Linked DNA regions of Drosophila melanogaster. The protein of the gene in region 1 interacts with the protein of each later gene in a pairwise test. Each region holds a gene or a part of one and is shown in the gene's direction. Other genes may lie near its edges.

The links.
Region 2: the proteins of Cpr64Ad (region 1) and CG17826 interact in a two-hybrid assay, tested with the Drosophila melanogaster proteins (one large-scale study listed by BioGRID).
Region 3: the proteins of Cpr64Ad (region 1) and Boh1 interact in a two-hybrid assay, tested with the Drosophila melanogaster proteins (one large-scale study listed by BioGRID).
Region 4: the proteins of Cpr64Ad (region 1) and stops interact in a two-hybrid assay, tested with the Drosophila melanogaster proteins (one large-scale study listed by BioGRID).

What each region holds. Positions count from the first base shown.
Region 1 is NT_037436.4:4,212,888-4,218,248, forward strand, and holds Cpr64Ad (cuticular protein 64Ad), read left to right. Parts: upstream 1-2,491; 5' UTR 2,492-2,562; coding exon 2,563-2,577; intron 2,578-2,652; coding exon 2,653-3,381; 3' UTR 3,382-3,527; downstream 3,528-5,361. Other genes in the region: CG43367 (uncharacterized protein), read left to right, coding at 3,697-3,840, 3,904-4,291, 4,350-4,518, 4,583-4,707, 4,770-5,077, 5,135-5,361.
Region 2 is NT_037436.4:11,947,346-11,954,189, forward strand, and holds CG17826 (uncharacterized protein), read left to right. Parts: upstream 1-2,493; 5' UTR 2,494-2,527; coding exon 2,528-2,555; intron 2,556-2,613; coding exon 2,614-4,841; 3' UTR 4,842-4,880; downstream 4,881-6,844. Other genes in the region: CG7252 (uncharacterized protein), read left to right, coding at 377-398, 459-1,861; obst-G (obstructor-G), read right to left, coding at 5,054-5,827, 5,883-5,948.
Region 3 is NT_033777.3:27,916,145-27,921,614, reverse strand, and holds Boh1 (buddy of Hmr 1), read left to right. Parts: upstream 1-2,154; 5' UTR 2,155-2,331; coding exon 2,332-3,357; 3' UTR 3,358-3,431; downstream 3,432-5,470. Other genes in the region: BCAS2, read left to right, coding at 1-245; CG12259 (uncharacterized protein), read left to right, coding at 621-1,700; mRpS22 (mitochondrial ribosomal protein S22), read right to left, coding at 3,432-4,613; CG5003 (uncharacterized protein), read left to right, coding at 5,187-5,467.
Region 4 is NT_033777.3:31,164,155-31,171,107, reverse strand, and holds the start of stops (slow termination of phototransduction), read left to right. Parts: upstream 1-2,503; 5' UTR 2,504-2,634; coding exon 2,635-3,081; intron 3,082-3,682; coding exon 3,683-3,782; intron 3,783-4,648; coding exon 4,649-4,758; intron 4,759-4,828; coding exon 4,829-4,932; intron 4,933-6,953. Other genes in the region: Gycbeta100B (guanylyl cyclase beta-subunit at 100B), read right to left, coding at 1-99.

The sequences.
Region 1 (5,361 bases):
GAATGAGGGAGCTCTGGTTTGGATGTGTCTGCACTGCGAGAACTCAGCTCAAATGTGAGATGCATTTTCCGCGTGGTCTTCAGTTTTATATTCGAAACTGGCGGCAGCTGCCAGCGGAAAAAAAAACTGGACAATCTAATGGGCAGAGTGACAATTGCGTCTCATTTGGTGGCTGCCCGATCTCGATCTCGATCTTGCACCCCAGACCTCATCGCTGATGGCGGATTTCGTGTTTCTGGTGCGGATTTCATCATTGGTGCTGGCTTTTCTCAATGGAATAACTGCAGCCGCCGCTGCCGAGGCACACCACTCACCGAAGTCCATTTGAGTCCGTTCAAGAGCGCCGCTCCAAGATACCCAGCTAGTCAGCTACCAGCAACACCAGACTCGTTTTCCGCTGACTCGCTGGCCGATCTGGTTTCATTTTTTCGCCGTTTTTTGGCACATTCTCAGGTTCTCCAGCCAAAATTTGTCTGATGTAATAAGTGCCTCATATTGTGGCAGTTTCAGTTGCAGTTGCCACAAGAACAGTGACAGTGCTTTTTTAGCGATTGTAGGTACCCTTTCAAGAAAAATCTTTAATATCATCAAAGACCTAATGAAAATATGTATTTACTCTCAATTTTCTGAAAATGTATGAAACCAAGATTACAATTGGATATGTAAACACTCATTTGGCGAACATACTTCAATCAATATTTGAATATGTAATTGAAATGCCTGCTGTTAAGTTATGCCGATTATCACTCACACGCCATGTTGTCCAAACGCAAGCAAATTTCGCTTGGTTTGCGTGACGTGCGAGTAATCTTCATAGTAACATACATGTCCAATGTGCCCACCCAAAGTGCAGGGTATAAAAACAAGATCAATCGTTCGCAGCCACTCGTTTAATTAGAAAACGAAAATGGCAAGTTTCGACGGCTTGGTGGAGGGAATGGAATTGGGCGGGACGCAGGCGCAATTACGCACTGGCACACGCATTAACCCCTCGACGATCCGATTTCCACCTGACCAACTGGACCAGCGCCCACATTGCTGAGCCCGGTCACTTAGCCACCGTAATTGCCTCGATCGGGCCAAAAAGCATTTAGCCGGCATTTGGAAGCTCTAACCGCGGCGACCTTGCTCACAATTGGCAGCTAAGTGGCTGTGGTTAGTATTTCATCCACTTTTAATTAATTCTCATCTCAGAGCAGAGTCAAGCGATTGGGCAAGGAACTGCATAAATGGCAGTGGAGCATTCCATTCGCTTTGGCCAAATTGGACGACTGTATATCCATGCTGGTTTCCGGTGGCGACAATCTACGCCGACAACCGTTAGTCAGCTACCACAACCCGACGAGTAATACCACCATTTGGTGCCAACTTTTGGGGCTCTCTCCGCTTCTCCGGATCGCTCAGCGTCTCTCCGAGGTGAATCCGCAGCCAACGAGTCGCAAGGTCGTTGGTTGCATTTAGGAAAAGAGTCACGAACTCAAAACCAGCCACCAGTTACAGCACGAAATCGATGGGGAATCTTTAATCAACCATGGAGTTAGGCAAATTCCAAAAGACCAGAGATTCTTGTTGTTACTGAAGATATTTGTTAGGAAAGCATGTTAAATTTAAAATAAGATTTATCCTTTTCAGCAAAGTCGTTTAGGGGAGGAACTAAAAATCTCCTTATGGAAACATAAACCAAATGCATGGCCATTTATTAGAATAATATCAATATAATTGATGTATCAAATGTTGATAATCTTTCAATAGATTTACAATAGTAATATATGGGTATATAGTATATATATTAGTCTAATCGATATTACTGGGCCACATTGACCCAGTTTCACCTTGTTAAGTGAAACCGAACCCCTTGTGAAAACCCTTATTATGTATAAGTGGTAACTCATTAGCATAAGTAATTGATACCCAATAAGGTGTATAAGAAACTTTCCAATTTATTTGAGACAACCAATTCAAGTAGTACATCAAAATCAGGATCATTACACTCTAAAGATACTTTTTTATCCCAGAGATATATTAATATTAAGTTTTTGAGCTTGAACCCTTGTCAACTCGACGTCATTATGGTAACTTAATTATAAGTTTCGCGCTTTTGGTGTAAAGGAAAATTAAAAGCACTGTCATTGGATGGAACCTGCATGACAATTACCGAAAACTACTGCTCCGAAATATAATCAAATCGCATTCACTTTCGATCCGAACAAGGCAAAAACAGTGGCAAATAAAAATGAAAACTTGGTGTAGCCACCGCAAGACGACTGAAAATTGGAGTACGTGCTGCGAATTTGGATCAAAGCCCGAGACGCAGACGCAGCCAAATGCTGGGTAGGAAGAGGCGGCCCCAAAAAGCGGCGATGGTGATGATGCGGGGGGCAAGGAGCTCGGACAATGGGCTACCATACGCAATTGGTACGCAGTTCCCTCCACGGAGCACCGCATGCAAATTTCGCGAACGCATCTGGGTATAAAAGTCGTGGTTTTTTTGTCCAAGGTATGTCAGTTCATTTTCGATAACCGACGGTGACAATCGCACTAAACCCCCACCCAAGCCTTACAATGAATCCTCTGACGGTAAGTGTTGGTGATGGCTTCGGTGAACCCGTCAGGTCAGGAGACTAAACTGGACTCCATGCATTTTCCTCACAGGTTGTTGCAGTCCTTTCCTCGATGGCCCTCTCGGCTCAGGCTGGTCTGGTTGGCGCTCCTCTGGCCGCCGCTCCTCTGGGTGCTCCTCTGGCTTACTCCGCCCCTCTGGGACCTGCTCCATACTTCGCCCCGGCTGCGTACTCCGCCCCTCTGGGCTACGCGGCTCCTTTGGGATACAACGCCCCTCTGGTGGCGGGACCTGCTCCCCTGGTGTCCAAGACCTACGCTGCCGCTCCTTTCGCCGCTCCCTTCGCTGCTCCAGTTGCCCCAGTTGCTGCTCGCCTGGCTGCCCCAGTCGCCGCTCCTCTCGCTGCCCCAGTTGCTCCAGTAGCCGCTCCCCTGGCTGCTCCAGTTGCTGCTCCCCTGGCTGCTCCAGTTGCTGCTCCCATCGCCACCGAGATCGTGGATGCCCACCCACAGTACAAGTTCGCCTACGATGTCCAGGATACGCTAACCGGTGACTCCAAGACCCAGGAGGAGACTCGTGATGGTGATGTCGTCCGTGGATCCTACTCTCTGATCGAGCCCGATGGTTCCCGTCGTATTGTCAGCTACTACGCCGACTCCATCAACGGTTTCAACGCAGTGGTGCAGAAGGATGTGCCCGTGGCTGTTGCCCCAGTGGCTCCAGTTTTGGCCAAGACCGTGGCTGCTCCAGTGGCTCCAGTTGTGGCTGCTGCCCCCGCTCCAGTCTTCGCCAAGACCCTGGCCGCTCCCATCGTCGCCTAAGTAGAAGGAGGAGAAGTAGGAGTCGTAAAGGAAGTATTGACCGCAATTCGACAAAGGACTTTCATCTGTACATATTCGATTAATCATTGTCGAGCTATTGAATAACTTTCATCGCAAAAACCCAAAATTAAAGAAATTCTGAAAACAAAAGATTGTAGTTTATTGTTTAAAGGCATCCTGGATTACGAGAGTGATATCATATAGAGGCTTAAGAAAATTATTTAAGTATTTTAGCTTTAATATTTATAGGTAATATTTATATGTATCATTCTTTATATTTTAAGGATTACACTTAAAACTTGGTGTTCTTTTTAGGGAAGTGGATGAAGAGTTCTGGAAGCTTTCGCAACATGAGAACGTGGCCAGGATGCGTCTGAAATTGGAGCCTCAGTTATATCCAAATAAACACGAGAATGCCGCCAATCTGCGCGACAATGCGACCAGTGCCTACGACACCAAGTAAGCCCAGCCAGTCCTTAGTAGTGTCCTTCATAATCTGATTTTCAATATCCTTTATCTTAGGGAAATCTCTGAATTTGACTCCACCATCAAGAATGCCGTGGTGCGCGATTTCCTGGCGGATGACGAAAGTTCCCAGCTGGAGGAGGAACTACGTCAACTGATCGACACGCAAGCGCAACAGGATGTGGCGCTGGAGAAGCTAGTCATGTCACAGGACTGTGAGCTGATCACGCTGATGACCAAGGTGAAGGGACGCATTGAGGTTAACCAGAGCGTGTTCACCTTTGTGGACTTGAGCCCGCCAACAGAGGATGGTTCCAAATACGATTTCAGGTTCTCCACCAACAAGATACGTGAGGTTCATCTGCGAAAGTACAATCTGCGCAGGAGTGCTTTGGAAATCTTCCTGGTGGATCAGACTAGCTACTTCCTCAACTTTACGACGAAGGTGAGTTTTTTTTTTGTAAATAAAATGTGATCATTGCAAATGTTCTTATTTCTTTAAGACTCGAAATAAAGTTTTCACAAAAATCGTGGGTCTACCGCTTCCAAACATACTCTACGGCTCGGGAAGATCGCCGGCTGAGCTGCTTAGGGCCTCGGGACTCACACAGAGATGGATCAATCGTGAGATTTCCAACTTTGAATACTTGATGTACCTAAACACAATCGCAGGTAAGCAAATAACATCTGATTATTACATACATTTTTATCAAACTAACGTATTTTACATAACTAGGTCGATCCTACAATGATCTAAGCCAATACCCCGTCTTCCCCTGGATCCTTGCTGATTACACCAGTGACGTGCTGGATCTTACCGATCCAAAATCGTTCCGTGACCTATCCAAACCCATTGGATGCGTAAGTATTACTGAAAATAGAAAAAGGTGATCAGTTACATGACAAACGCATTTCTACCGCAGATAAATCCTAAAAACGAGGCCGAAGTGCGCGGCAAATATGATTCATTCGAGGACCCCTCTGGTGCCATACCAAAGTTTCACTACGGAACCCACTACTCCAACTCGGCCGGCGTGCTCCACTATTTGCTTCGCGTCGAACCGTTCACCTCGCTGCACATTGATCTGCAGAGCGGTCGTTTCGATGTGGCCGATCGACAATTCCACTCGATACCTCAGACGTGGAAGTTGCTAATGGACAATCCCAATGACGTGAAGGAGCTGATCCCCGAGTTCTTTTACTTCCCAGAATTCCTTAAGAACATGAATAAGTAATGCATGTGGTTTTTTACTTTTACTTAGTTAGCCTAATGTTATTTTATGTGCAGATTTGATTTGGGCCACTTACAAATAACCAAAGAAAAGGTGGACGATGTCATATTGCCTGCTTGGGCTACCACGCCGGAGGAGTTCATAGCCATACACCGACGGGCTTTGGAATCGGAGTATGTCAGTCAGCATCTGCACCACTGGATTGATCTGATCTTTGGGTATAAGCAAAAGGGACCCAAGGCAGCTGAGGCTCTAAACGTTTTCTATTATTGCTCCTATGAAG
Region 2 (6,844 bases), 7.7 Mb from region 1:
AGGAGTGTGCGACAGAACGTAAATTAGGCAGACGCCGGGGCGGTACCCATTCAGCAGTCGAGAATCCGTAGACCTATGCCAAAATATTTGGTTTCTCTCCAGGTTGGAGGCACTGAAGTTCAGGTCTTGATAAGGCAGCCCGGCCCGAATCCCAGTGCCGAGCTTCAGACACACACACCTAATTACACCTGCGATAGCGTTCTGGCGCAAAACAAATCATTGCCGAATTAATCGAGAGATTCGTATGGTGATTGGTATTATCAGAAGATTGACTACTGATTTGGCGCACTCATGGCAGTTAAATGGTGCTACACGGCCTGGTTTGCCACTTAGTCGTTCGCGAAATTCGGACTACTTTAAAGGTGATCTCGGAAGAATGCGACCAATCGATTTTGGGGGTAAGCTGGTGAAGAGTTGGCTACCCAAGGCTAGTAACTTATTTCGGGTCCGTATCCTAGGTCTCTGGACCGTTCTGCTGCTTATCGGAGGTCTTCAAACTGTGGTAGCCCAGTTGACGAATGTGTGCCAAAATCAGGAAGATGGCACTAGACTTCCGTTGGCCACCCACTGTTCCCGATTTGTCGTTTGTCTGAAGGGAGAGGTTTCCATTATCGGTAGCTGCCCTCGTGGACTCCATTTCAATCGGGAGCTGAGGGAGTGCGACTTCCAGTGGCGAGCTAATTGCTTGGGACTCTCGGCCTTTGCCGAAGTGGATGATCAGTGTACCTGCGATTGCTGTGCTGAGGAGTGCCAGGATCCCATTGACGATATCGATGAAACTACCACGGCGGTCACCGAGGACTGCGATCCGGATACCACCACTTCAGCCACGGAACCCTCCGATTCCACGGAGCCGACGGATGCTACAACGGATTTCGATGACCCCAACAACTCCTCCAACACCACGCCTTCGAGTCCAAGTGTGGTGCCCTCGTATTGCAAAAGTTCCCGCACGGATTGCGTTAATCAGAAAACTGGCACCTATATAGATATGCCCGGGATCTGCGTGAGGTTCATCCAATGCAACAATGGTTGTGCCGAGGAATTCCAGTGTCCCTCCGGTCTGTACTTCAACACGGCGATAGACGATTGCGATTACTGGTGGAATGTGGACTGTACCCCCACCGCCGATGGCTCCACTGAGATCGAGGGACCATCGGGCACCACCTGCTCCAGTCAGGGCGAATGCGCTGGTAAGAGGGATGGCTACATGATTGCGGACCCCAATTCGAATGGATTCTTCGTCTGCCAATGCCAGTGCCCCATTGCGATGCCCTGTTCCGAGGGTCTGAAGTTCAACGAGACGGCCCAAGTGTGTGATTGGATTAAGGACACTAAATCCGCAATTGGTTCCTCGGCGGTTCAATGTTACGGTGACCTCGTCTACAACGCCACCTTAGACCAGTGCGACTATCCTGAAAACTATGTGCCCAAGGTGGAGTGCAATACCACCAGCACCGTGTGCCAAAACCAGCCGGAGGGAGAACTCTTTCCGGTGGAAGGCAAGTGCAACATGTTCTACAAGTGTAACTTCAACTGCGCCGTCGAGCAATATTGTCCGAACAACTTGGTCTACAACCCAAATACCGAAGAATGTGAATACCCCCAGGACTATGTTTGCCCGTGGGAGTATACCCCACCCTCTGGTCCCAATGCAGGACCTTCGGGAATCGCCTGCGAGAGTAATGGCCGTTGCATGGGACAACGTGAGGGTACCTACTTAAAGTCCACCACAAATTGTAGCAATTACGTCGTCTGCCAGTGTGAATGCGAGGTCGAGATGGAGTGCGCCGATGGCTTGTATTGGGACGAAAGCTTGCAGACCTGCAATTATAAGAACCAAGTGACCTGCACTCTTTAAATGACCGATTGGCAAATAAAGAAAGTGATTATCAAAGCAACTACTACTACTAGGATGTAGCCTAATCTGCCCATTTATTAATGAAACATTGGATCAGTAAATCATTTTAATCAGTTTTGTGGCGGGAATATGCCAACAGGTGTCGGCACTCAATGAGATTGGCAAGAGCTTATCGAACATAAATACCCATTTTTTTTTTTTTAATAAAGAAGGGGTATGTTTCCTGTAGGAATTTGTAGCTGGTCCAACCACTGCTATCACAATATAAAGCTTCAAAATAGTTAGTTCACATAGGTAAGTACCTATCAGTAGTTGTTCTTCTTTATACATATATGCACTATGGCGCATTGAAATTTCAATTTCAATCGATCGTTAAGACTTCTCATATATGAGCATCTTATAGCAACTGAAGAATAATTTCTTTTGGACTCTTTGATTTCGCGGATTCACAATGAACCGCTGAGTTTTATAAATAGTGACAATATCGATTGCTTGTATTACTACTGTATATATATGCTGATAGTATCACGGATGTTTCGACATTATCACCGCCACATGCTCTGATGCAGGAAGAGACATTCAATTATTTTAATTGCCGGTAAATATAAAAGGCGATATCTTCGAGCGAAGATTCATCAGTGAGCATTCGATACGCAGAGTGCAAAGATGGCCCAATCCAGAACTAAACACTATGGTAAGGACGGAGCAATGATAATTGGGAGGATGATTGTTGATCCGCGGTTTTTACCCAGGAGTGGCCCTGTGCCTAATAATTTCCCTCTTTATGGGATCGTCAAGTGCTGTGTGCTGCTCGGAGGGCGACACAAAAGTGGATGCGGATGATTGTACCAAGTATCTGATCTGCTGTCACGGCGAATTTGTATCCAAGTCGTGTGCAAGCGGATCCTATTGGAATTCGGAGTTAAATATCTGTGTCGTGGATGATGGTCAATGCAGACCTCCAACCTGTGTGGATGGAGAAATTACACCGAATCCAGATGACTGTGCCGGCTATTTAGAGTGCGTGGACGGAATCATAGTGATCCTGACCTGTCCAGATGGCGATTACTTCAATTCGACCCTAAATCGGTGCGTTGAAGATACCTGCGGCGTGTGCAACGGAAATGGAACGACATGCACTGATGGCGAACTTAAGGTGGACCCCACCAATTGCGCAGGCTACTTGGCTTGCTCGAACGGTAACTGGGTGAGCAAGCAGTGCGCTGACGGAGCTTACTTCAATGCCATACTGGAGACTTGTGTACAAGACGACGAGGGAATATGCGTCAATTGTAAAGAGGGATCTACAAAACCCTTGGCCGACTGTACCATGTATGAGATCTGTTCCGGTGGCAAGTATGTGACCAAGTCCTGCGACAGTGGTTACTACTGGAACAGCCAATCAGAGGTCTGCGATGTGGATAATGGTCAGTGCAATGGAAATGGAACGACATGCACTGATGGCGAACTTAAGGTGGACCCCACCAATTGCGCAGGCTACTTGGCTTGCTCGAACGGTAACTGGGTGAGCAAGCAGTGCGCCGACGGAGCTTACTTCAATGTCACTCTGGAGACTTGTGTACAAGACGACGAGGGAATATGTGTCAATTGTAAAGAGGGATCTACAAAACCCTTGGCCGACTGTACCATGTATGAGATCTGTTCCGGTGGCAAGTATGTGACCAAGTCCTGCGACAGTGGTTACTACTGGAACAGCCAATCAGAGGTCTGCGATGTGGATAATGGTCAGTGCAATGGAAATGGAACGACATGCACTGATGGCGAACTTAAGGTGGACCCCACCAATTGCGCAGGCTACTTGGCTTGCTCGAACGGTAACTGGGTGAGCAAGCAGTGCGCCGACGGAGCTTACTTCAATGCCACACTGGAGACTTGTGTACAAGACGACGAGGGAATATGTGTCAATTGTAAAGAGGGATCTACAAAACCCTTGGCCGACTGTACCATGTATGAGATCTGTTCCGGTGGCAAGTATGTGACCAAGTCCTGCGACAGTGGTTACTACTGGAACAGCCAATCAGAGGTCTGCGATGTGGATAATGGTCAGTGCAATGGAAATGGAACGACATGCACTGATGGCGAACTTAAGGTGGACCCCACCAATTGCGCAGGCTACTTGGCTTGCTCGAACGGTAACTGGGTGAGCAAGCAGTGCGCCGACGGAGCTTACTTCAATGCCACACTGGAGACTTGTGTACAAGACGACGAGGGAATATGTGTCAATTGTAAAGAGGGATCTACAAAACCCTTGGCCGACTGTACCATGTATGAGATCTGTTCCGGTGGCAAGTATGTGACCAAGTCCTGCGACAGTGGTTACTACTGGAACAGCCAGTCAGAGGTCTGCGATGTGGATAATGGTCAGTGCAACGGAAATGGAACGACATGCACTGAGAATGAGGTTAAGGTGAATCCTGCGGACTGCGCCGGATACCTACAGTGCATAAACGGAGTCTTTGTGGCCAGGAAGTGCTCCGCTACGCAGTTCTTCAATACCACACTGAAGGAATGCGAGGTCGACACAGAGAATGTGTGCATTCCCAAAACCTGCGATCCCGACTGCTGCGATGTGCCCAACAATTCCATCTGGCCCGTGGAGAAAAATTGCTCCGCCTTCTACCAGTGCGTAAATGGTAACAAATATGAGCAGCGGTGCTCCAACAACCTGCAATACAATTCAATAATAGAGCAGTGCGATTATCCCGAAAATGTTCAATGCGACGATGGATCTGCACCGCCAAGTGGTCCGATTGCCGGACCCTCGGGAACTTATTGCGAGAGCCACGGACGATGCGTTGGCCAGCGGGATGGTACCATGTTCGCCGATGCCAGCGGAGATTGTAGTTCTAATTATGTAGTCTGCCAGTGCGAGTGTGAGGTGAACTTCACTTGTTCCTCTGGACTTTTGTTCAATTTGCAGGTCAAATCCTGCGATTGGCCCGATAATGTTAAGTGCTAAGTGGTTTCAATAAACAATATTTAAAGCAGAGTATTAAACGAAAAGATTTTCGTTTTTCTATAGATAAAAACTACTTATTCTAAGCAGAGAATAGAAAATATTCCCCTTATTTTTAGTACTATATGATGTGGCTATATTTTCTCTGTTTAGGCTTTGGACTATTAAAAATTATTATAATTCAAGCACTTTATTGGGGTCTTAAAAAAATATAGTTAGAATCGACGTTTTTTTGACTTGCGCACAGGTTTCTTTGACTTGGATTTGCTTTCATTTAGCTTCGTCTGGCATTTTGCAATTTTGGGATAATCGCATCGTGATGTGGCTATATTGAAATGCAGGCCAGTTGGGCAGTCCATTACCAAAAACATCATGTTGCTGCAGAGCATAAACTTGCCACAATCGCTGCGATGAGCAACAAGAGAGTTTTCCTTTTCATCTGAACACACTCCTCCCGTGGTGGCAGGACCATCTGATTCTTTATTTTCTCGGGTTCCACCCGAACACTTGGCTTCTGAGGCCTTCATGCAAATGCGACGAGTTGGACTAAAATGTTGTTTGTCAGGACAAGAGCGCAGATGGGGCTTTTTTGCTTTGCAGACATAATATTCCTGGCAGGACCCGTTCTTTGTAAGCATCACTCCATCCTTCTTGCCAGCACACATTTTGTCAAGGGTTGTAGGACGCGGCTTTTTCGTCGCTTTGACAGTAACGGGAGGATCAGTTTTGGCCATTTCCTCATCATCGTCTTCGTCGCTTTCAGAACTTGACGTGTCGTCAACAATATTATCCTTGCCATCGAAAATGCAATCCACATTGTCAGGATCATCGCAGTGCAACGTTAAAGGATTAAACAACGTATTCTTTTCACAAGTTCCGGTCACAGCGTTTCCATCAGCACACACGTAATATCCTTTACAGGATCCAAACATGGGCAAGAGTCCACCATTTTTACCCTCGCATAAGGACGTCTTGAACGCAAATCCGTTCTGTGAAAGTGAACATTCTAATTTTTCATACTTTTAAGAATGTTTTCCAACATACTTGTACAACAGCCAGAGTACTTTCTTGAAGTACTAACATTACGCAGAGCAGTCCAAATAGCTTCATTTTGTGTGATGCTATCGAGTGTTTTATCGAACTGAAACTTTCCATTCATTGAACTGCGTTTTTATAGAGTAGCATTTATAAGTAATTTGCATGATTTGCTAGTATGTTAAATGCTAGAATCTGATTGTACTGTTCATATGATAGAGTTACTCGAATATGAGTACTATCTTTATTTTCTTACTCAGAATTGATAAGAGTTCATATAAAACATATGTAACGTCTGATCAAAGGTGGCATTCCTACATATGAACGTGTGCCCAGGTTCAAGACCATTTTTGTTTTGGGTTGACGTTCTATCATAAAATCTTTCATACTTTAGTGAATGAAAAGTATCATATTTCTAAGACATCCAATCGACCACTTTTAGATCTATCTAGTTGCAAATCTTTTACCTGCCTTCTTTAGCGGGTAAGCTAGACCAATTTGCCTTAAAATATTTCTTCAATATTTATTATTATCATTATCTTCTGATTACCATTATCTAATGATGCCTAAAAGTAGGTAACACGTAACGAACAATAAACCCCGTTCTTTATAAGAATGTAAAACATTGGGTGCCTACTTGCAATATCTGTTTAATATAGAGATTGGAATGCTTTCGGGGAACTTAATTGTTGTCATATCTCACCGAAATTAATTATAACGAAAACAAAAGTGAAAAGATGTTTATCATCGTACATTATTAATAACCAATTGTCTACTTCCTTGACCAATAGAATGTTATCTATACTATTAGTCATTATCAGCTGAAAAATGTTTTTGTTGAAAGTGCCAAAAATGCGATCCCATTTCAGTTAATTCCAAGACTTTGTGACATTCACACACAAACTTAACCACAAAGAAAATATATTTAACTTTTAAACTTAACAGTGGATTACTTTTCCGTGATCATTCGT
Region 3 (5,470 bases), on another chromosome or scaffold:
AGATCGTCCATGCCGCCCGTCAGCAGCTGCGGAAGATTACCCCGCCGCCCAGCGCCAATGACACGGCTCCAACGCCGGAATACACGAATGGTTTCGACCAGAACGATTTGGCCGAGAGCAACGGCAGTAGCTCCAGCAATCCAGATCCAAGCCAACCTGGCGATGATGGAACAGATGCCGATGGTGACAGCAAGGAGGAGGACAAATCCGAGGCACAGGAGGAATCTTCCAATGGATCAACGTAGATTTAGTACACTGAGCGAAAGCATGAAGCAAGTTAAAGAAAAACTTACGACTGTAACTAAATATAAAGGATATTAAAAAAAACAGCTAAAAATCTAAGATTTATCTTTATTTTTCAAAATCGTTGCAGAGAAATAGTGATCCTCTTCTTTTTGCTCTTATATCAGGGGAATGGACAGCTAGTAAATTTTAAATAATTTCAAGATTAAATATTTTATTATTTCAAATTGGTAAGGTAGTGTTTTGTGCTGTAAATTTTTTATACGAAGAATGGCATTTTTCAATGTTTCTGCTACGGTCACACCAATTGGATGTTTACAAATTTCGTTTACGAATTAAATAAAAAAAAATATAAATAAATACAGAAACAACTAAGGATGGCCCACTACAAAGGTGCCGCCAGCGAGGCGGGCCGTGCAGCCCAGCTGATGAAGAAGCGGGAGATCCAGCAGCAGGAGATCGAGTTTCGCAAGAAGAAGATCGAGGAGGAGCTCAAGCTGGACAAGATTGAGAACAAGTTTGCCACCCACTACGATGCCGTGGAGCAGCAGCTCAAGTCCTCGACCATTGGTCTGGTCACCCTCGACGAGATGAAGGCCAAGCAGGAGGATATAGTGCGGGAACGGGAGAAGAAGCTCGCCCAGAAGAAGGACGAAAAGGATCGGGAGAAGCAGCGCGCCCTGGAGGCCATTCAGGCGGAGAAGAACAAGCAGAAGCGGCAGATCCAGGCGCTGTCCTTCAACCTGGACGACGACGAGGAGGAGGAGGAGGAGGACGACGAGGATCACGATAAGAAACAGCTGAAGATTAAGCAGGAGGATCAGCCCAAGCCCAAGTGGACGGAGATCAAGGAAGACATTTTGCCCATAAAGAAGAAGAAGATATGCAAGAATCCTGACGTGGACACTTCCTTTCTGCCAGATCGCGAGCGCGAGGAGCAGGAGAACAGACTGCGCGAGCAGCTGCGTCAAGAATGGGTAATGCAGCAGGCGGAGCTGAAGGACGAGGACATCTCCATCACGTTCAGCTACTGGGATGGCTCCGGCCATCGGCGGAACGTGCTGATGAAGAAGGGCAACTCCATCTACCAGTTTCTGCAGAAGTGCCTGGAGCTGCTGCGCAAGGAGTTCATCGAACTGAAGACCGTAATGGCCGACCAGCTGATGTACGTCAAGGAGGATCTGATCCTGCCGCACCACTATTCCTTCTACGACTTTATCGTGACCAAGGCACGCGGCAAATCCGGCCCGCTCTTCCAGTTCGACGTCCACGACGATGTGCGCATGATAAGCGACGCCTCCGTGGAGAAGGAGGAGTCCCATGCCGGAAAGGTACTCCTCCGCTCCTGGTACGAGCGCAACAAGCACATCTTCCCAGCCAGCCGATGGGAGCCCTACGATCCCACCAAGTCCTACGACAAGTACACCATCAAGGACAAGGATAAGAGTAAAAAGTAGTGCTTAGGGCAGTTTCTGCCCGAATAATTGTACAATATAATAATGATTGATTTAATACATCAAAACAAACGAAAAATAACTACAATTTTTATTTGATTTTTCCACCAGATTTACAATCAGTTTAATTAAACTATTATAATAGGCATTGAATGAAATATAAAATATATAACAAATTTATGTTTGCTTAATACAATTTTGAATTCATTAGAAAATGTCATACTTCTCATAAGAATACCCCTAATTATTTAAAATGGCACTGTTAAGAGAACTTGTTGCTAAACAAATTTGGTAGAAATTTTAGTTTATAAACACAGTATAATCAGAGAACATGCAGTTATTCAGCACTTCGTATTGATTGCCATGAAAAAAGAACTGTTAGATTTATATTTTATTTTAATTTTTTAATATTCCAACTGTCATAATAGTCAAAAGAAGTCGGATATGGCGGGAAAAAAGCTAGCCCGCCAGCACCAATAGCAACATTGAATTTTTTGCGCCAGTAAAATTCGCGTCTTTTTATAAAAAGCAAGCGTAATTAATAACAAAAATAAAATAAGTTCCAAGTAAAATGTGAATTCATTTTTCGGATACGTATCGATTTAGTGCCATTTGAGAACCCCGAACCAACGAAATGTACCCGGCGCAACCGGCAAAGGTGGCGTTGGCCGGTCAACCGATATCCGCCGGAAAACCACCACGCCACAGCCCTGTTCAGATGAAGTCTATCCCTTTGCCCGTCTTCGAGCTGCCGGAATACGTGTGCGTGGAGACCAAGTGGGTGACACGCAAGTACGCGATAGAGAATGGCATTCCAGTGAAAGAACTGCATGCCCCGATCACCAATGGAGGCGCTACAGAGTCTCCCAAGAAATCCGTACAGCAGAAGAGACTCAACGAGGTCACTGGAATGTTTGCGAACGAGGCTATGGTGCCGCGCAGAGAGCGCGCCATTCAAACAGAGAATGCGGGCACTAAGGATGCGGGCATTCAATGCCGTCGCGATTCGGAGGAGTGGTATTTACCAGAGGAACGGCCAAAGGATACCGGTTCTGAGGCCTCCAATTCCGACAAATTTCTCACCTACGTGAGCGAGAACACATTCATATTTCCCAACGGCATGATGGAGTGCGCGGTGTGCGGCGATGTGGCCAAAACCTTGCTGGAGCACCAGAGCCACATGACCGCGCACTATGGACCTGGTGCTCTGTGCTTTCGCTGTGGTCAGCGTCTGGACCACCAGAAACAATTGAAGCAACACAGTCTGAGCTGTCCCGCTCTAGCGCCCAGGAAGTCATCGATGCTCTTTAAATGCCCACATCTACTCTGCAACGCCATGAGCCACTCAGAGATGCAGTTGCTCAGGCACCTGAGAAACCATAGCGGCAGGAAGTGCTACAGATGTCTTCAGTGCAAACGTTACTTCAAGACCACCACCTCTCTTTTGGTACACCGAAAAAAAGAACAGAGTTGTGCCAAGGCGAAAGTGGTCGTCCTATTTCGCGAACACAACGGGTTGCCCAATGGAAGAGGTGATCCCAGACGTTGCTCAGTTTGCTTGAAGCGTTTCAGCAGCGAGCGGGTATGCCTGCGGCACCGGAGACAGTGCATCCTTGGCCATTTTAGACGGCTGTCCAGGGTCCTCAAGAAGGAGCTATGAACAGCGTATAGAAATCTTGACCTAGCTGGTATTTATTAGTACATAGAAATCGATAACAATAAAGCGAATAGATCCTACGAAGCCTGGACGCCGTGAGCCTTTTTCAGTCCCTGGAACAGCATCAGTTTCTCCCGGTTAACTTCCTTAAGCGTCTGCACCGCCAGCTCCAGTTGCACCTTCTTCAGCGCATGTTCGCTGGCGATGTACTGCTCAATGAACTTCAGGCTGATCTCATCGGCGGCGAAATCGTGCTCCGTCTTGCCAATGGCCGTATGGATCTCCTGCTCAATGTTCTGCTTATTGTCATGTCGTCGGAAGACGCTTCTTAGCTCCGCCAGGGCACTTTCCGCCGGCGTGGCATGCAGTTTGCCCAGTTCGGTCAGCGTTGCCTGATACTCCACTGGGATGTTGTGTAGCTTGTAGCTCAGAGCAATCAGCTCCACGGCATTGTGCAGATAATCCCGACGGATCATGTCATACAGCAGGTCGTCGATGCAGCGGTGCCAAGCGTAGAAGAAGGCCATGGGTCCAAAGTGGCGGGTGGAGCGCAGAAGATCGAACTCCTTGGACTCGTTGAGATGCTCGAACACACGCGCTGAAATGTTGTGGAACTCCGGCTCATGTGGCTCGTACTGCACCAAGAGTCGATCCAGGATGAACTCGTACTTGTGCTCCGCCAAGCACTTGGCCAGCAGCTCCTCCAGCGCGAACATTCGTGGAGTATATGACTGGCGACCCTCCAGCGGGAAATACAACTGGTTCATGCGCTTCGTGGTATCAAGAGTGGCGTAGGCCAAGGTTCCGTCCATATCCCGGACGATTACCTTGCGTTCCGACTGCCGTCGGCCGAAGGTGATGTCCGTGAATACGAACTTGGAGTTGGCGAAGTCCTTCAGCGCCGTATCCTTGGCTATCACCCGCTCCACATCTTTTTTGATCTGCACAATGGGTGGCATTTGCAGAATTTGCTGAGCCCGCACCACCAAGTTCTGGAACTCGTTGTCCAGCTGCTCGTTGCTCATGAACTTCGTTTCGCTGCTGTTGTCCGGCACCGTGCGCTTCCGATACACCTTGTCCAAGTTCAGTTGCGTCATGGACTGGAGCAGCCGCTGGGTTTCGGCATCCGTGAAAAGCGGCTGCGGATCGCGCTCGTACTGCAGGGCGGCGGGCTTGGTGGGCGCCGAGGACACCTGCCGGATAGCTTGGCGCACTCCTTGGAGGCCATTCAGCTGGCGCAGGCTCCGCAGCAGGTGCATTTTCAGTCAGTAAATCAGGCACAAAAATACACGAGACGGGTGTAGAAATTAGTGAGGGCAGCACGGTGTTTTCCAACACTGCTTGCTAGTAATGACAACAGGAATCTTATTTAATTTAATGTGTTTATTCTATTTGTATAATAACTTTTTTAATGCACATGCACATGCGTAATGCGCCTTATTTTTAAATTTCATTCATAATATGCAATATTTGTTTGAAATAGGAAAATAGCAAAATAGGCAACTTTATTATCTACATAAGAATTAAACGATTATTAACTACTTGTTATTGTTCCCATTTTACCAGACGACTCAATTGTATAACTATGAGCAGCTAGTGCCACCGCCTTTAGTATCAAATCGTAATAATCAAGAAAAAAAATAATATAATAATAAAAACGACATTAAAAATTACCGGGAAATTCGGAAGCCAGTTTCATCTCTTCGACATAGGAATACCCCTACTAGCGGCTTATCTCGGGATCTGACTGCGGTCACACTTGACCAATTGCATTTAGCTGGAAAAAAAGCTGCTGGCGAAAATTGGCAATAAAGTGCAGGAGCAGCCCAAGCATGGAACAGGCCGAATTGGGCAGTACGTGCCTTGCAGCGCCTAAGCGCCGCTTCCCGGACAACGAACGTTGTGGGCGGGAGCTGGCCGCCGTGCCCGTGCAGCCAGTGCTGCCACAAATCCCTACCGAGGAGGAGCCGGAGATAAAACAGCGCAAAAGGGAGAAGGAGCATAAGGAATCCCTCGACCGGGAAACGGAGTGCAACCTCATGGACTTCTGTGATGAGCTGCTCTTCGAGATCTTCCAGTACCTGGACACGTCCTCCATTCTGGCGGTGATGCAGTA
Region 4 (6,953 bases), on another chromosome or scaffold:
AACCAACAGTCCATGGGCGTCGGTTTGCCCTTCATGATAACGGGTCCGCGGTACTCCAAGTGGAACGAATCATCCTGGTTGATCGCCATACAGAGGAGCCTGCAAAAAGGAAAGGAAAAAGGGGCAGATGCCATAAGTTTCAGGGCGGAAGGCACTGTGTAAACTCAACTGTTATTCTTCTTTGGGGTTTAGTATAGTGTAAACTGAAATTTCGTAAATAAAACTTTCTTAAGTAGAGTAGCGCAGTAAATAATTCTATCCAAAATTACAAAGTAATCACCGAGTTTTAATATCACTTACGAAGAGAAATAAAGACAGAACGTTATGTATAAGCTATATCTTTAAGATGCAAGCAAATTCAGTAAGCAAAGAATAGTAGTGCTTAACATTTGAGATGTGACTCCTTTGGCAGTCACATAAATTCGAGTTAGGGAGTTCCGTTGTGGACTTGGTCTGATGCCATAATGCACTCTGAATGATGTATATCTCGGGGGTCGTTTTTTTTTCTCAATCTGCACACCAATAAATTGCCATCGTAATTTCCACAGTGGGAGACCCCTTATTCAGCTATTAGATTGCATCGCCAGAAATTATGTAAATTCGGTTATTGTGCTCCATGTGCCCGCACAATCGAGTGCAGCATAAAACGGAAGCGAAATAAAAATTTCGCCAGGCTTGTGTGCATTTCCGCTTCCGCTTGGCTCGACCACAGTGCAACCACACATTGTTGCATTTATTCGGACTCATATATTTACGGCCAATACGCCGCTGATTGGATACGAATTTAATTCAATTAATTCGCTACCTTTGCGGCATCGGATAGCCTGCATATGGCCACAATTGCATTGCCCTTTTAATTAGCGCTCAGGTGAGCCTGTTCAGGTGAAAATATTGCCATGTTGTCCTGGGTAACCAGCACAAATATGCACCGTTTTAATGGACCTGAGTTAATTACACTGTGCCGAATGTCCTTCGACACTTATTTGCATATGCGATTAAGGCGAAGGACCCGAGGAATCCCTACCAGACATGATTATCCCAGTCATCATCTCTGGATCCCTTGGTGTGCGTTCTTAATTAATGTTTATGGCAGTGCTTAAATATTTACCCAGCGCTTAATTGTCAGCCCAAATATTAAACGTGCAAATACGGCGAATAATGGAATGAGTGGGCCTGAATAATGTATGGGAAAATTGATATGTCCCGCATAAACAAATATTAATTGGCAAAGGGTGATAGAAAAACATGTAAACAATGTGCACAATTGCTATTTAAAATATGAATTTATTTTGTAGCTGAGAAATTTACATGACAATTGGAGTCGTGTTTTAAAATACATTTGACGTGGCTAAAGCTCGAGAAAACACTCCTATTGTTTACAGATTTAAATCCGTGTATATGAATATTTGTTGCAATATTTATTTCAAAATGATCCCCTTGAAAATGTAATGGATTCATTGAAGGGGGATTAGTAAATCTCTAAAAAGATAGCTTAAAGCGGTTCGCTTTATGATAATATCGGTTTCACTCTGGAATGAAGTATCGAGTGACTTTGTATTAGTTTTCAGTTTTCCGTTGTAAAATCAAATTCATTAATGATTTAAACCGAAAAAAGCACTGAAACATTAAACAGCACACCATCAGTATTTATTTCGAAATAAATATATTTTTGTTGAATCAAGCATAATCCTTATAATGACAAACCAATTATTTTTCAGTTTAATATTGCAAAATCACAAAAACCTGCGTTTTTATGCGCCATTTGATTTTATGCTTATCGCCAAACATTACCCATTTAGCACAAAAATAATGTGAGAGCATACATATGTACTATATATTTTAAATTGAAAATTCCAATTTAGAATCTAATTTAGCTTTATGCTCATGAAACGCGTATTTAATACCTCCGCTACTCTCTGTACAAAGAGAGAGTGGAGAGAAAGCGGGAGAGTGAGCGCTTAGGTAAACAGCTGAGCGTTCTTAGAAATTGGACTTCGTTTGTTTAGTTTTCCAGCGGCAGCTGATGAGTGGGGTGGAAAATTGTGTGAGTGCGCTGCGTGCAGTGAATAAATGGTTCGGAAAAATGCCAGCAAATTTCAAAGTGCAATAGACTGTTTAGCAAAAACCAATCGAATTGAATCGAATCGAATCAGTTTCAATGGAGTCCTCGAGTTCCATTCGGTTTTTGAAGAGCTCATAGAAATATACTTGTCGGCTGGTAATCAAACACCTGTTTGCCAATTGCTTTGCTGGGAGCTTCACGGAAATAAAGAGGCCTAAAAAGTAATTGAACTGTATATCAGCTTTTGAATAAGCTTTACATACTATGTAATTATTTTCTTATATGATTGCAATGCTTAAAAATATTAAAATGAATATTCCGCATGCTCATTATGAGTTGTTTATGTTTATCAAAAGTTCTCCCAGCACATCATTGCCAGCTGCAAAAAATCGATAGCGCAAGAGAGTCACCCCCGCAAAAGAAATTCTCTCTTTTTTGTGTATTGCGACTCTTTGGCTTCAGCGGTGCGGGAGTTTTTTTGAAGCGGAATTTCAATTCTTTGGAGGGAATCATCAATTCAGCTCAATCGAAAATATTTGCCTACTTAAAGTGAATTAAATTTTGTTTGCAATATGCTTTCGCAGTTGCTACAGGCTTTCCAGCGGCTGGTAAGTCAATTAAAAAGCCAATTTGTGTGGGTTCGCTGCTGGTTGCCATTTCCACGGCATTTCTACGGTTTCCGCCGGGAAACTGAGTCACGGGCACGGCTGCGTCTGCGGGTGCGGGAACAACTGCGTCGGAATCCTGCCAATAGGGCCAGTCACCAGCGGAACCGGCGAACCCAGCGCCGCCATCTGGTCATGGACTACATCTTCGAGTGCTTCTTCGACGACACCTTCGAGCAGATCTCCCGCAACGGACTGCAGGACCGCCAGTCGCGGCGAGATGTCCTCGACCACCTGAGCTCCATCATCAAGGGCTGCAGCGGCGGCCAGAACTCGCAGACGGATGAGGTGGCCGCCATCGCGGTGACGGCGGCCATGAGGTACCACCGAATGGCCAAGGAGCAGAACGGCCAGGTGAGCTTTATGTACAAATCGAGTGTTGCCAATGTGGCATTTCTGTGTGCCAAACTTCAATAGTTAATATGAATAAATATTTACTTAAAAGAGTCCATACAAACTAGCACTGGGCTTTAGCAAAGCTCAACTTAATTAATAATGATTTGACAATTAGTTTCCGGTACTTAAAAAAACGAAATAAATAATTAGAACAAAAGCCAAGTCAGTCTATTTCGTTGTCGTATTAAATAAATGTTAATGTTTAAACCAAGCCTTATGAATGGAAACCAATGATTAATTAGCCAAATAACATTGCTTTGCTTTTGAGTCGAATAAAAGTGGAATTTAATAAAGCTTTCTAGAAAACGGTTAGAAAAGTACTAAAACTATGCATAAATATGTATATCCTGCTGCTGCGATCCAATTGACCTTTTAGAGTGTAAATAAATATGGAAAGTTGTTTCGGGCTTAATTTCCTTTGGCAGAGTCTGCTAAACTTAATTTTCTTCCATTTTAAATGCCATCTCTTCATATGGCAATTATTTATAATTTAAAAAGTAGCACTTCAGTTGGGATTCAGCCCCTTCACCACACCCTCCATTCCATGCGTATTCCCCAGGTCTGCCTCATGGGCAAGTATCACAACATCCTGTACATCGGACTGCGCACCTGCTGGGATTGGGGAGTCCGGGACTCGGAGGTGGTCGTCAAGCTGCTGGGTAAGTGGAGTCGGGCCAACTAAATAATTTAATTTAAATGCATATGTATGCGTATGTGTGCGTAAGCGTATGCGAGTGAGTGTGCGTGTGTGTGTGGCAAGACTTTCCTGTTTGCTTTTTGGGCGTGGCTGTGTGCTTTGCATACTTTAATAAATATCATCCCATCGCATCGGATTATTACGCCCATAAGCAGGCAGTTTTCACTTTAATCACGTGTTTCTGCTAATTGCGTTAAGAAAGTGTTGCTGATGTCGTTCTGTTGCTCTGTTGTTGCTGCATCGTAAAACTTGTAAAGTGCCTCAAAGTGTTGCAAGTTATTTGGGGCGTACGCATGTTGGCTGCCTCTAATTAAAAGGCTGCGTAAACTTTTGCGAGCAGGAAAAGTGCCTGGAATTAATGGCATGCCTCTGTCAGGGAATCTGGACTCGTGTGCAATAAAACTTGCTCCTTGTTTGTCCTGTCCTCACTCACCAAGTTGCTTTGTTGCTGACTCCAGCCTTTTGGACCCGCTGGCCTTGGTTTGGCAAACATTGTGGCCGTTTCCGTTTTCCGCTGACTTCATTTCTGGGCTGTGCCAAAAAGCCAACGAAACCGAAAGCCAAAAAACCAAAGCAGCAACAAGTGCAGCCACGTAATTAGCTTTTTTATGGCTGCGCTGCTGCGATTTGATGACATTATTTAACCGCTTTCTCCACTACCGACAATTTGCCTGCATCGCGGGAAAATCGGTCACAATGTGTATACAAATTTGGTTTATGGCATTACCCACTTCGAAATGTTATTAAACGTGGCTTGTTTTATATAAATTAACTTTTAACTATTTTCCTGTTCCCATGACTAATTTATCCCCTTTTTGTGCAATTCAGTGGCCATTTACGAGTGCGAGAAGACATATGAGCGCATTTTCCTGGGCGCCCTGTTTGGACCACATGCTCCGCACTTCATCGCCGGCTGGCGCAGTGACTTTCAGGATCAGGTGAGACTGGCAGAAAGACCCTATTCCTGGCCCCGTGGAATAGACACCCATGTATGTCCTTTGTTCGCAGCACGAGAATGTCCGGGCTATGGTTTACTTTCTGAAGCACGCCACACGCGAACAGCTCACATTGCCCGTCTGGATTCCGCGCTTCGAGCAGGAGCGACAGCTCAGGTGAGTCCTCAGCCCGGTCCCCATCCTGTCCTGACATTCTCCCCTTTTCCCCACTCCCCCCTCTTCACTCTTTCATGTGTCGCGCTCTTTTGCTGCCTCGAGCGATTTTCACACTAGCCGGGTTAATTGGATAGTTGCCTGGGTGCCATGCCGAGGTCTTCATTCCCCCAAAGAGTTTTTCATACTAGCTGTATGCTTGGACATTTATGGAGAGCTCTTACTTTCATAACAGTCACAGTAAGCCTTTCTATACACTTAGCTTATGGCTATCAGAGCAAATTATAAGTTGCTTACAAAGCAAATCGCCAAGAATTAAAGATTAAACTTTAAAATTCGGATTATGTGCCGAGATACCGATCAATCTTAATGGCTTGCCAGTTTTCCACACAATAATAATGTTTTCGGTAACAATAAGATACTATAAATACCCGCTGGGAATGCAAGGAAATGGTGGACGAACGTGAAGGGTAACCAGAGAAATGAAAGGATTTTAATTAAATTAATTCATCAGCCATTGTTGTGGCACCTACACAGAGTGTGTGTGTGTGTGTGACTGCCATAATTGAGTGAAAGATGGCGACAATTTACAACCACAGACACGACTGCGAATACACTTTTACAGAGAATGGCTCTCAATCACTGGCGGTGGCTTTCTCTCACTTCTGCTGGTGTCATGTATAATTAAGATTTTCATTTGCAGCTTGCTTTTGGGGGGGGGTTTCCCATTTTCCGCCTTCTTTTTCCGACCCTCCCACATGCACATGAGGTCCGTGTGTGAGTGTCGCTGATGCGATAAGCTGAAAACCAACAGGCAGCGATGTAAACCTTTTGTTATTTCGGCTTTGTTCGCCAGCACTTCGGAGGATTAAAGTCAAAAATGCGTGTAATAAGCGCACAAAGGCATGCTCAACCCCACCACGCCCACTAATCCACACAGATACAGCCCGCCCCCTTGGATATACCATACCCATACCATTGCCGAGTTGACTGTTTGCGCTTCTTAAACAAACAGAAGGCAAAAAACATACTGACTGGCAAGCATTAAGACGACATTTATGATGCCCTCTCGCAAAACAGCAGCCAAAGTCATGAATAAGCGTCAATAGCTGCAAATGTATGTGGGTGTACGATTGGGAGTGTGTGTGTGGAGTGTGCGACCCAAGAGCTGAGAAAAACAAGCAATGTGACAATAAACGTTTCGGCCAAATGCCGTTGAAGTTGCATAAATCAGTGCTGGAGCAGCATATTGCCAAAGTTTTCGCAGAACAGTGAACACTCGTGAAAAGGAATTGTGTTGAAGCTAAAAGCTCACAATGAGATTTACACAATTTACTTACGATGTTAGGGTTCTAATGCAACAGTAACGGATTTGCAAAGAAAACACCTGAAAAGGGTGTTTAACAAAACACTAAAACCTAATTGTTTATTGAGAAAAAAACATGATTTAATTCAGTAATTGCATGGCTTAAATGGCTTAAAATAGCAAGTTACATTATTTCACTACTGCATTTGCATAACCTGCCGACTTAATGGCACTCGGAATAATTTATACCCTCCAAGGCACTGGGAACTTCACAAGCTGAGAACTCATACTCTTTTCATCGGATTTAATCGAAGTGCACACTGTATAGCAAAGACATTAACATGAAACGCCGGCTAATACTCGCTAAGCAGACCATTAGACAGAAATTTGATTTGTCAGCCCACTCAGCAGCTGATTAAAGTGTTAATGTCTGACTTGGGGGCAAATCACTTCCGACTGGAGGAGAATATGCCAGCCACGAGGTGCTATATACGGCTATTGAGGAACCTGTCATGGGATGCGATTGGGGAATGGCTTGATTCTTGCAGGGACTCACTTTTATCGCCGCCAATAAAACGCAAATGAATTTGCCAAGCCAATTTCCAAGCTGTCACTGGATGGTGGCTCAAAGTGCGCTTATCGTCTGATGTGTGGGTTACTTCTACTTCCGGTTTATTGTGGTTTCTGCTCTTTTATTTGCCTACTTTTATGCGTAGAC